3 linked regions of the Kluyveromyces lactis genome follow. The protein of the gene in region 2 purifies or fractionates together with the protein of the main gene of each other region. This does not show direct contact. Links are inferred from orthologs where the notes say so. Each region holds a gene or a part of one and is shown on either strand. Other genes may lie near its edges.

Evidence for each region.
Region 1: the proteins of RRP9 (region 2) and NOP14 purify together in Saccharomyces cerevisiae (affinity purification with mass spectrometry, with the first as the bait; 3 studies listed by BioGRID). This does not show direct contact. The link is inferred for Kluyveromyces lactis from reciprocal best matches to the Saccharomyces cerevisiae genes RRP9 and NOP14.
Region 3: the proteins of RRP9 (region 2) and UTP4 purify together in Saccharomyces cerevisiae (affinity purification with mass spectrometry; 4 studies listed by BioGRID). This does not show direct contact. The link is inferred for Kluyveromyces lactis from reciprocal best matches to the Saccharomyces cerevisiae genes RRP9 and UTP4.

What each region holds. Positions count from the first base shown.
Region 1 is NC_006039.1:1,426,623-1,430,381, reverse strand, and holds NOP14 (snoRNA-binding rRNA-processing protein NOP14), read right to left. Parts: upstream 2,632-3,759; coding exon 118-2,631; downstream 1-117. Other genes in the region: autophagy protein ATG9, read left to right, coding at 1-76; proteasome regulatory particle lid subunit RPN5, read left to right, coding at 3,188-3,759. UniProt on the Saccharomyces cerevisiae protein: Involved in nucleolar processing of pre-18S ribosomal RNA. Has a role in the nuclear export of 40S pre-ribosomal subunit to the cytoplasm.
Region 2 is NC_006038.1:970,200-973,544, reverse strand, and holds RRP9 (ribosomal RNA-processing protein RRP9), read left to right. Parts: upstream 1-1,080; coding exon 1,081-2,784; downstream 2,785-3,345. Other genes in the region: chromatin-binding protein CTF4, read left to right, coding at 1-715; KLLA0_B11055g (uncharacterized protein), read right to left, coding at 3,243-3,345. UniProt on the Saccharomyces cerevisiae protein: Involved in nucleolar processing of pre-18S ribosomal RNA. Required for efficient pre-rRNA cleavage at sites A0, A1 and A2, and biosynthesis of 18S rRNA.
Region 3 is NC_006040.1:1,131,444-1,135,075, reverse strand, and holds UTP4 (small subunit rRNA maturation protein UTP4), read left to right. Parts: upstream 1-798; coding exon 799-3,009; downstream 3,010-3,632. Other genes in the region: condensin subunit YCG1, read right to left, coding at 1-559; KLLA0_D13200g (uncharacterized protein), read right to left, coding at 3,092-3,632. UniProt on the Saccharomyces cerevisiae protein: Involved in nucleolar processing of pre-18S ribosomal RNA. Required for optimal pre-ribosomal RNA transcription by RNA polymerase I together with a subset of U3 proteins required for transcription (t-UTPs).

The sequences.
Region 1 (3,759 bases), on a different chromosome or scaffold from region 2:
TGACGAACTGAAGGCGGGAAATGGTGTTATGGGCCTATTAAACCAATATTACAAAAAATCAGATCGCAATCGATGATAAAGTTTATTAATGTTGAGTATAGATTATATAATATGCAGTTAACGTTTGGTATTACGGAGCTTCTTTTCACGCTCATATTTGTTTTTCTCAGCACCTTCTTCAGTACTGATTTGATTGACAATACGTGCCATCTTGGAATGGTAATCGGCGTACTCCTTCTTCTTTTCTTCAATGCCTTGTCTTGCCTCGAATCTAGTGTCTTTACGTATTTCTTTCATAGTGAACTTACGTTCCTTCTTCAATTGCGCCTTCATCTTGTTCAACTCACTTCTGGTCTTATCTGGATCATACGACTTCTTATCTGGGTTGAAGTTCTCTTCGAATTTAGGCGTATTTGATGGAATCGCCAGTGGTTTATGCTGTTGCAACGTCAATGGCAGACGTTCTTGGAATTTCAATAGCTTTTCGATCTTTTCCACTAATTGTTTTGGTTTAGAAGTACCAGGATATACTTCGGCAGCCACGTTTAGTATGTCTTTGAAGGGATTAATGATTTCTGGGAAGGCAGTAAGATCTTTCCAGATGTTCGTTATGCACCAATCAATTGATTCTAGATTGTTGACCAGCACGGACAGTTTGATAGATTCTTGCTTTTCTAGATCCTCGGAAAATAATGAGTGTAATTCTAAAGAAGGGGCGACCTTGGACCAGTTAATATCCGAGCCTACTATTGATAAATTGTCCTCCTGTTTTTCTTTGTTTTCTAATGTTTCCCCTTTGGTACTCGGTATTAGAGAACGCAAAGATGTCTGCAAGAAGTATGTTAACTCAGGAATATAACGCTTGCTTATACGTTGATACTGGATGGCGATTCTAACCAGTATCGAACCAAATATTAATTTTTGAAGAGAATTGAACCTAATTTGTTCCAAAAACTCTGCAATTAGAAGCAGACAGGGAGTAATGACTAAATGATAGTGATCCGAAGTGGAGAACAACATACCAACAACAGAGAAAAATACCAAATCTGATGGAGATAGTCCATAGAACTGGGATTCTTTGAATCTAGTCTGAATATCTGAGATGATATTTCTACAATCCTCTGATAGTGGAATGGTAAACTTTTCTGAAAGAGTCTTTAGAATGCTTACTAGTTCGTTTTGTAATGATGCAATTTCTTTCACATTAACCGAGTAATCTTCTTCAGCCAAGAAAAGTATATGTCTGAGCAAAACAGCAGTGAATTTGCCCAATTTTTCTTTGTTTCCCTCAGCCAATTTTGGTTGGTATGTTTTTACTATTCTTTTAACTAAAGATGGATGCTCTTCGATAGGATAAGATTTCAAGAAATTTAGTAAGTCATCGTGAATTTGAGGACATGGAACAGAAGGTATAACTCTTGCTGAAGGTCTACCATTTGATGTAGCGTCGTATTCATTGTCATCATTGTTATCCTTCTCGAAATCAACGTCGTCATCCGAGTCAGGAATTGCTTTGATATATTCACCATATTCGCCCTCCTCAGAGTCGCTATCTTCCCAAAACTCTTCTCCCAAATCTTCAACACCAGCATCTTTTTGATCTTCAATGTTGAAAATACCGTTCATACGATCAAGCCTTTTCTGCTCCAATTCCTTTTGTTTGTCCTCATATTCTTTCTTAATCTCTTCATCTGTTTTAGTTCTATCTGCAGGGGCAGCTCTTTTCTCCAAGACTAACTCTTTCACCTTGATATCATAATCTGGAGCGATGTCTGTGGAGGTCGAAATCTCAGTTTGAGAAGGTTTAGTCTTTGGTAACGTCCTTAATTCAGACATAATGCTTTCGAAATCGTCATCAAGGCCTTCGATATCTTGGACCAATTTCTCCTGCGCCTTTTGTCTTTCATGTTTGTAAAATTTGGATTTAGCAATGACCTCTTGCATGACTTCTGCCTTAGTCTTCTTTCTTGCTGGCTCTTGCAAAGCGTCATCACCTAACCCTTCATCTCCGTATTGATCCGCCATATTTCTTTTACCAGCTTGTTTCAACCTGAAGTCCTCCGAATCAGAATGCTGTAACCCCAAATCACCTTCATCGAAATCATCTTCCAAGGAAAGAGACTTACCATAATGAGTCAACTTTTCACCGTACACGTTTTCATCCTCACCACCATCGCTATCGTCTAAATTGAATAACGATCTTTTCGTCGAAGATTGACGTTGTCTTTCCTTTGTGAAACGTTCCAACATGATCTCCTCGGAAGTCAAATTCTTATCCTTTTCACCAAAACGTTTATCTAAGACACCACCGCTTCTGTTCTTGCTGGACTTCTTGGCTTCGTAGAACATTTTACGTTGATCTTCACCGGCTTGTTTAGTGATTCCCGGCTTACCTACTGCAAGTTTAGCTGCAGATTCCCTCATCACACCAACCTTTTTATTACGATTTGTTTTCACATCAAACGGATTAAACTGTTCCCTAATTCTTTCAATAGTCTTCTGTCTTTCTTCTCTATCAAACTCCCTGGGAGATTTGCCCTTCTTCTTAGAACTCTTCTTGACATTGGTCTGACCAGTCAACCCATTAGCCTTTAAAGCGGCCTTCAAGTTCTTCAACTGTGAACCACCCATTATTATTCGACTTTGTAACCTATTTGCCCACAGACAAGAAGAATGGTCTAAACACAACTGATGATGCAAGTCAATTCAATACAATCGGCCAAGATACTGAACCTTCTGACAGCCTTTGATTTAATCCCATCTCATCTCATCTCATCGCTCAATTCATCTTCTGTCAAACTTTTAATGCTTTTTCACCGAAAAGAAAGAAAATAGTTACCCGCACAATAAAATCAAATCAAGGTTACCCGAATATCCAGCACAATCATTACGAACGATGATGAAGTCACGTTTTTCTAAGATTCGATTGTTACTGTTACTGAGGAAGCTTTTACCGTAGCTTGTCATTTTAAAGGCATTATGAGAAATAAAGGAAATCAGTTACAGGTGGCAAATATATACGAAATAACCGCGAACAGAGGTACAGCAGGTTACAGTGTCGGTTCTGAGACTGTAAGTTTGTGTGGTTTGAATACAGGACGGATACAGAGAAATTGATTGTATTGCATTTCGGTTTAAGTTGAGCAGGCAGAGCAAAGAGAAAAGAGTATAAATTATATCGTAAAATATGTCCAGAGACGCTCCAATTAAGGCAGAGAAAGATTATACCGAAATCTTGGACGCTGAATTTCCTAAGCTTGAGATTTTGGCCAAGAATGATTATTCCAGTGCTTTGGATCAATTGTTAGTGTTGGAAAAGAAGACTAGACAATCTTCTGATTTAGCATCTTCGAAAAGAGTCTTGACTAAGATCGTAGATGTTTTGGTCGCAGCAGACCAATGGGACCTACTTAACGACCAAATCATGCTTCTATCAAAAAAGCATGGTCAATTGAAGTTATCTGTGCAGTATATGATTCAGTCTGTGATGAAATATTTGGAAGACCTGAAGGATTTGGACACCAAGATTAAAACTATTGAGACGATAAGAACCGTGACTGAGAACAAGATTTTCGTGGAAGTTGAAAGAGCTAGAGTCACTAGAGATTTGGTTCATATCAGAAGATCTGAGAACAAGATCGATGAGGCCACTGACTTGTTATGTGAATTGCAAGTGGAAACGTATGGGTCCATGGAGATGTATGAAAAGATTGAATTTATCCTTGAACAAATGGAATTAAGTATCCTAAAAGGTGATTA
Region 2 (3,345 bases):
CTTATTCTTCTCAAGCTTTGGTGATCCGTGTATGTTTGGTCATGATAATGTTTTGTTAATTCTGTCCAAATGGAGAAGTGGTAGTGACGCGAGATGGGTACCCATAGTTGATACCAATTTAGAACTTTGGAAGATGTCAGGGGGTAAGCATCCGAAGAACGTCCACGTTTGGCCATTAGGATTAAACTTCGATACATTTTCGTATTTATTATTGAAGGGGAAGAACGCATGGCCAGATATCCCAATGACCGTTCCTACAGAAATGGAAGTCAGAATCCCAGTTGTATCAAAATCCGAGCTTCAAAAGACACAAGACGATAATCGTAACGACAGCAGCGATGTGGAAGATATTGATAACAGTAATGGTGTCGAAATTCCAATGTACCTAGCAGCAGAAGAGGAATTTCTACGCTCCAAGATACTAAGTGATTTACTAAAAGACACGATGGATAATGAAGGTGAGATATACGGAAATGAAACAGATCTATTACAGCATCTGGTAGCAACACATGATAAGTCCTTACTACGACTTTTAGCTTATGTCTGTTCCGAGCAAGATGTTAACAAGGCCGTTTCAATCGTCAACGAACTGAAGCAAGATAAGGCCCTATCTGCTGCAAGAAAAATTGCAGAAAGAGCTGAACTACTTCCACTAGTAAGAAAAATCAACACGATTATTGAGGCCAAATTTGAGGCCGATTTCAATAATATATGATAATCCCCTGTTCTTCTTATCTGGACTAGAATAAGTATTGTCAGTTTAAATAATAATTGATTTTCCGATCCGTGCATTGACGTTCATTTTCTGCCGTAATGTAAATTAAACTAAGTAATTCTAGCAATACCAATGAAATCAGGCATATAGGTCGTTGAATCGAGTAAAGTCTTCCAAACTATTATTTAATTCTGTTGCAAGTTCATGCATTCTTCAATTTTTGTCACTTTTCAAGTGGTGTCGTTTCTTTTACAAATTGGCGATACTGAAAAAAAAATTGTACATCTGAACCAACATCATTGAAACAGGCGATGAGCTGCAACTAAACCAGACGAGACAGCAACCAGAGGGCCACCAAGTACACCATGGCTAGATCTAGTACAAGCAATGTCTCAAAAAAACGTAATAGGGATTCTGTCGAAGAGGTAGATGAGGAAATCACGGATATTTCTTCTGATGAAGGTGATGTCCAAGATGAATCCAATGATGGCGATGAGGTAGCAGAATACTTGGAATCTGAAGACGAGTTTGAAGGCGAAAACCCTGCTGATAAGAGAAGAAGATTGGCTAAACAATATTTAGAGAATTTAAAGGCTGAAGCTGAAGATATTGGCGATTCTCTGGCGACCGCAAGCACTGAACAGGACCGTCAAACACAATTAGAGGATTACAATAACTTTGATGCTCGTGACTTGGACAGAGATATCATTGCTTCCAGATTGAAACAAGATGTTGCAGAGCAACAAGGGCGTATCTATAGATGGATTTCAAATAAGCTTTTGATAGGTGAATCCAGAACAACGTTTACAAGAGTAGGCGAAAATAATCTAACATGTATTTCGTGTTATCAACCCTCAGTTAACAAGTTTTCTCATAAAGATGTTCAAAATAAGAGCAAGGACAAAATATTTGCTTACACTGTTAGCAAGGACATGCAATTAACAAAATATGATGTTACTGATTTCAAAGCTAGACCAAAAAAAGTGAAATATGTTAAAGGTGGTAGAAAATACATACCGGAAGGTAAATTTGAGTACGAGAATGTGACAGAAGGTCATTACGATGAAATCTTAACGGTGGCAGCTTCTCCTGATGGTAAATACGTAGTTAGTGGTGGTCGTGACCGTAAACTGATAGTATGGAGTACCGAATCTTTAGCCCCTGTGAAAATTATTCCAACCAAAGATCGTAGAGGTGAGGTTTTAGGATTAGCATTCAAGAAGAATTCGGATCAATTATTCGCAGCATGTGCCGATTACAAAATCAGAACGTATGCTATTAACCAGTTTTCTCAACTGGAAATATTATACGGTCATCAGGATTTGGTTATTGATATCTCTGCCCTAAATATGGAGCGTTGTGTGACAGTGGGGTCCAGGGATCGTACCGCTATGTTGTGGAAAATAGCTGACGAATCCAGATTGACATTCAGAGGTGGTGATGATCCTGAAAGACTGAGGAAAAAATGGTTGAAGAACCAACAATTGTCCGCAGAAGGCGGAGAAGATATGCATGAACAGACCCCACCTCACTTTTATGGCGAGGGAAGTATCGATTGTATTAGCATGGTAGATGATTCACATTTCGTTACTGGCTCTGATAACGGAAATATATCATTATGGTCTTTATCCAAAAAGAAACCTCTTTTCACCGTTAGAACTGCTCATGGTGTTGTACCATTAGTTGAGGATAAAAAAATCTCTGGGGAAGTGAGCGATGAATTACGCAATGCACAATTACAAGGTGGATCCATTGCCCAACCATTTTGGATAACATCATTATACGCCGTTCCATATTCTGATATTTTCATTTCAGGATCCTGGAATGGAACCCTGAAGGTATGGAAAATCAATGAGAACTTAAGAGCATTTGAACTATTAGGAGACTTACCTAACTGTAAAGGTGTGGTAACCAAAATTCAAGCCGTAGAATCCGGCAGAACCGGTAGAGAAACCTTCAGAATTCTAGCAAGTGTCAGTAAAGAACATAGATTAGGAAGATGGATTAGCAAGGTACCAGGTGCAAGAAATGGTATCTTTTCTGCTGTGATAGAACAAACCGGATTCTAGTTAATCTTATCAATAGAAAAATCTCCTGTATAGTAAAAAGAAGAATACTTTAATAAAGCCGAAATACATTAGTAATTGTTACAAGGGTATATATTTATATATAGAGAGCTCTAACCGATCAATGATGTAGAGAACTAGGAAAGGATTAATAGAAATCATTGTGACATGATTTTGAGTAGTGTCTTTCATTGTCAGCCATGATAAAATAAGGTGTTAGAGAACGAATTTGAGAACAGATAAGATTTAATTCACATAGCCAGCGACGTAGAGAATTAAATGCGGGAACATCAAAGGAATAGCTCAAAGGATTAAAGGAAAAGATCGGGAAAAGTCAAATGGATTTTTTTATTTTAAGTATTAAGCGTTCCTCATGTTCTTGTAAACAAGCAAGGAACGAAAGAGTAATAAACAACACAAATCGTCTCAAGAGAAAGCAAACAACTCCCAAAGTAAAGGAATCATAGGAAGGCCAAAGCAATACCAGCGGCAGCACCAATCAAAGCGTCGTTAATTCCAACTTGGTAAGCAGCACCAGTAGACTCTGAAGTGCCTGAAGTGGAA
Region 3 (3,632 bases), on a different chromosome or scaffold from region 2:
CAAATCCATCAATAAATCCTCCGAAATGTACTTCCAAATTCCTCACATTTTGCTCATTACCATCTTCGGTTCTCATCTTGTTAAGATTCGACTCTATATTTGCGATGAACCCTGAAATCAACCGAACAATGCGATCCCCCACGATTTCCTGTTTCTTCAGCGGCAAGATTTTGACAGTCATTTTGATAAACCAATAATGAAACACATCTGATATCTCTTGCTCCACACATTTCAAATAAATCCTGTATAAGACAGCTACATGACGTCTGTGACCAGCATAACTCTTCTGCGCCACCTGGAAAACCTCCGCTATAGAATTCAGAACACGACGATTTGTAGGAGATTCTCCATCCTGAACATCCATATCAAACAATTGCACCCTTTTGGTCAATAATACCACGAGTATACACCAGGGAAAGGCTGCTATGAGGTTGCCGCCGATGTTTCTTCCACTTTCCTTTTCCTCTTTGTTTATTAGTTTGTTTATGTGAAGAGAAGATCCAATTGTAAACAAATCTCGTTTTCCCAATAGATCTAATATATCACGTGATATGATCATACTGTACGGTGTTGAAGCTAAACTAGTTTCTTTTTGAAAAATTTCAGCGTTAAGAGCACACAAGCTTAGAACAGAAGCTCATCTCATCGGATAACAAAGTCGTATATTTCTATCTAGTCAGTGAAGTTTTTTGATTGACATCAGCCTACAGTTTGTCAATCTTTTGTTTCATTCTAATACATTAGCTTTTGTTCTCTGATACAGGTTTAAGGTCCTCAATTTATAGAACACATTTGATCATGACTGATACTGGGAAGAAACAGGTAGTGCATCGATCCAGGTTTGTGCAGTTTACACCTGGTAATATAACGGCTCTTGCATTTTCACACAAAAGTACTGATAAAGCGGCACCGCAAGAGCTAAGACTGGCTATTGGTAGATCCAATGGTAATATTGAGATCTGGAATCCAAGAGATGATTGGGTACAAGAGTTCGTGATCTTGGGAGGTGAAGGAAGATCCATTGAAGGTCTTTCCTGGTGCAGTATTCGTGGAGAGCCTTTGAGACTATTTTCGATCGGTGGCTCCACTGTAGTTACAGAATGGGATTTGACAACCGGGTTGCCGTTAGTAAATTACGATTGTAACTCTGGTGTGATTTGGTCCATTGCAATGAGCAACGATATGAATAAGCTAGCGGTCGGATGTGATAACGGCAGTGTAGTACTTATTAACATCAGTGGTGGTAAAGGTGTTCTTGAGCATGAGAGCATACTTACAAGGCAAGAATCTCGTGTCTTATCGTTGACATGGACAGCCAATGATGAATCTTTGGTCGCTGGTTGTTCTGATGGAAGGATTAGAATATGGTATACTAAGGAGCAAGACGAAAACAAGGGAAGACTATTACATACTATGAAAGTGGATAAATCGAAGAAAGAATCTACACTCGTATGGTCTGTGTTGTATCTAGCTAAACAGAACCAAATTGTGTCTGGTGATTCTACTGGGTCGGTCAAATTCTGGGACTTAAACTACGCAACATTGACTCAATCTTTCAAGGTTCATGATGCCGATGTTCTATGTCTGGCTACTGATCTGGATAATTCACAATTGTTCACTAGTGGTGTTGATAGAAAGATTTTCCAATTCTCTTACATCGATACAGGAAAGAGCATGAAATGGATCAGTACTTCAAACAGATTATTCCATTCCAATGATGTTAGATCTATGTCCTCTTATCAATGTATGGGATCCGACTTCCTAGTGTCTGGTGGTATTGAAAAGTCTCTTGTCATGTGCTCAATGTCCTCTTTCGCTGAAGGAAATTATAGAAAGATGCCACTAGTTACCCCATTCCATAAGAGCATCCTGGTCAACAAACAACAAAGACTATTGGTGATGTGGCAGGATAATATCGTGAAGATATGGTATATTGGCGAAGACGTCAATGAGCCTAAGAACTACAAATTAGTTAGTAAATTGGTTTTGAAGGATGAACAAAACATCCAAACCTGTGCACTATCAACTGACGGACAAGTTTTATTAGTGGGAAGACTAAATACTACCAAAGTTTTCCATTTACAACCAACAGACAACAAATTGAAAGTAACAAAGTTGGACAATGAGTTTTTGTTGAGAACTGGTTGCAAATTTGCTAAGTTCATTGATGATTCTAGGTTAATAATGTGTTCACAATCTGATGAAATAGTTAGAATTGACCTTGAAGAGGATGACGACGAAAAAACCGTAACTATTGAGTTACCTGAAGCGAACTCAACGAAATCCAGCAATAAACTATCATATTTGAATGCAGTGAACCATTTAGATGCAAATGAACGTTACGCTGTTGCGTCTAGAGGTACCGGTGCTCTAGACTTAATAGATTTGACAACAAACAGTAGTAAAGCTTTAATTCGCATGAACAACTTCATCACTGCACTGTGCATCACACCAAGAGAGACTGTAGTAGTAGTGACATCAGAAAATAAAATATACGAGTTCAATTTGGAATCCGAGAAGGATCAACTACTCACTGACTGGTTCAAAGCCAATCATGAAAACCTCCCAAGGCAATTTACTTCCTTGAAAGAGAGATGCACAGGAATATTCTTAGATGAAATGGATGAGCATAAGGTATGGTTCTGGGGATCTAACTGGTTGGTTAACATCAACATGTCATTAGACTTGCCAGTTAGCAAAAGAAAGAAGCAAAAGAAGCGTGACCGTGACGGATTAACTATTTCCACTGACGGTCTACAGGCAGACGTCGATGAGGATGATGAAGACGATGAAGAACTCGAAGTTAAGGAAGATTATCTCTTAAAAACTCAGAGAGCGCAAGATGTCACCTCCAAGAAGAGATCTGATAAGGCGTTTTTCTATACCGATAAGTATAGACCTCTATTATTCGCTGGAAAGATCGCAAGTGACCAATTAATCATTGTGGAAAGACCAAACTTCTTGATCTCCCAACCTCCTGCATTTGAATTAGAAAAGTTAGTATTCTAATTTATAATTTCTGTACATTATTATAAACTCGATCTTCATCGCGAAATTGATTTTTAACATAGGGTCATCATTCCGCCGCATATCATCTGTGTAGTGTTCTTTCTGCTACCTTAATACCAATGAATGTCAAGAGCGAACTGCAAGCGAACATTTTATCAGACCAGACGTCGATTACAACATCAGGAATAGTGAATTTCTCACCCAAGAGTTGATTGACCTGTTTTGAGACATCATATGGTAAATTGGAGCGAATCATCAAGATAGTGGCAAGGATGTACACACCTGTCAACTCACACACAGCGAGGTTTTTGATGATCGAAGGGGGTTTCTTGGTATAGAATGCATCCTTATTGCTCGTAGGAAGCTCAGAGCCATTGGTACTCTGCATTGCAGATAACGCTAATAATTGTAGTTTGACAGGCAGTAATGTCAAAAGATAAGAGATTGTCGTAGTGACAGTAGAAAGAGAGCACACGAACAACGAGATGGACAATATCAAGGATATCTGTTTGATTAACGAATCCATGTCATTTTGATGTTCTAATCTTAGAACCAAGAAGTCAAACATATTGGCGAATGTGACAGCTAAGGGGTCCTTTTCAGTACTTTTATTGTCGAAGAAT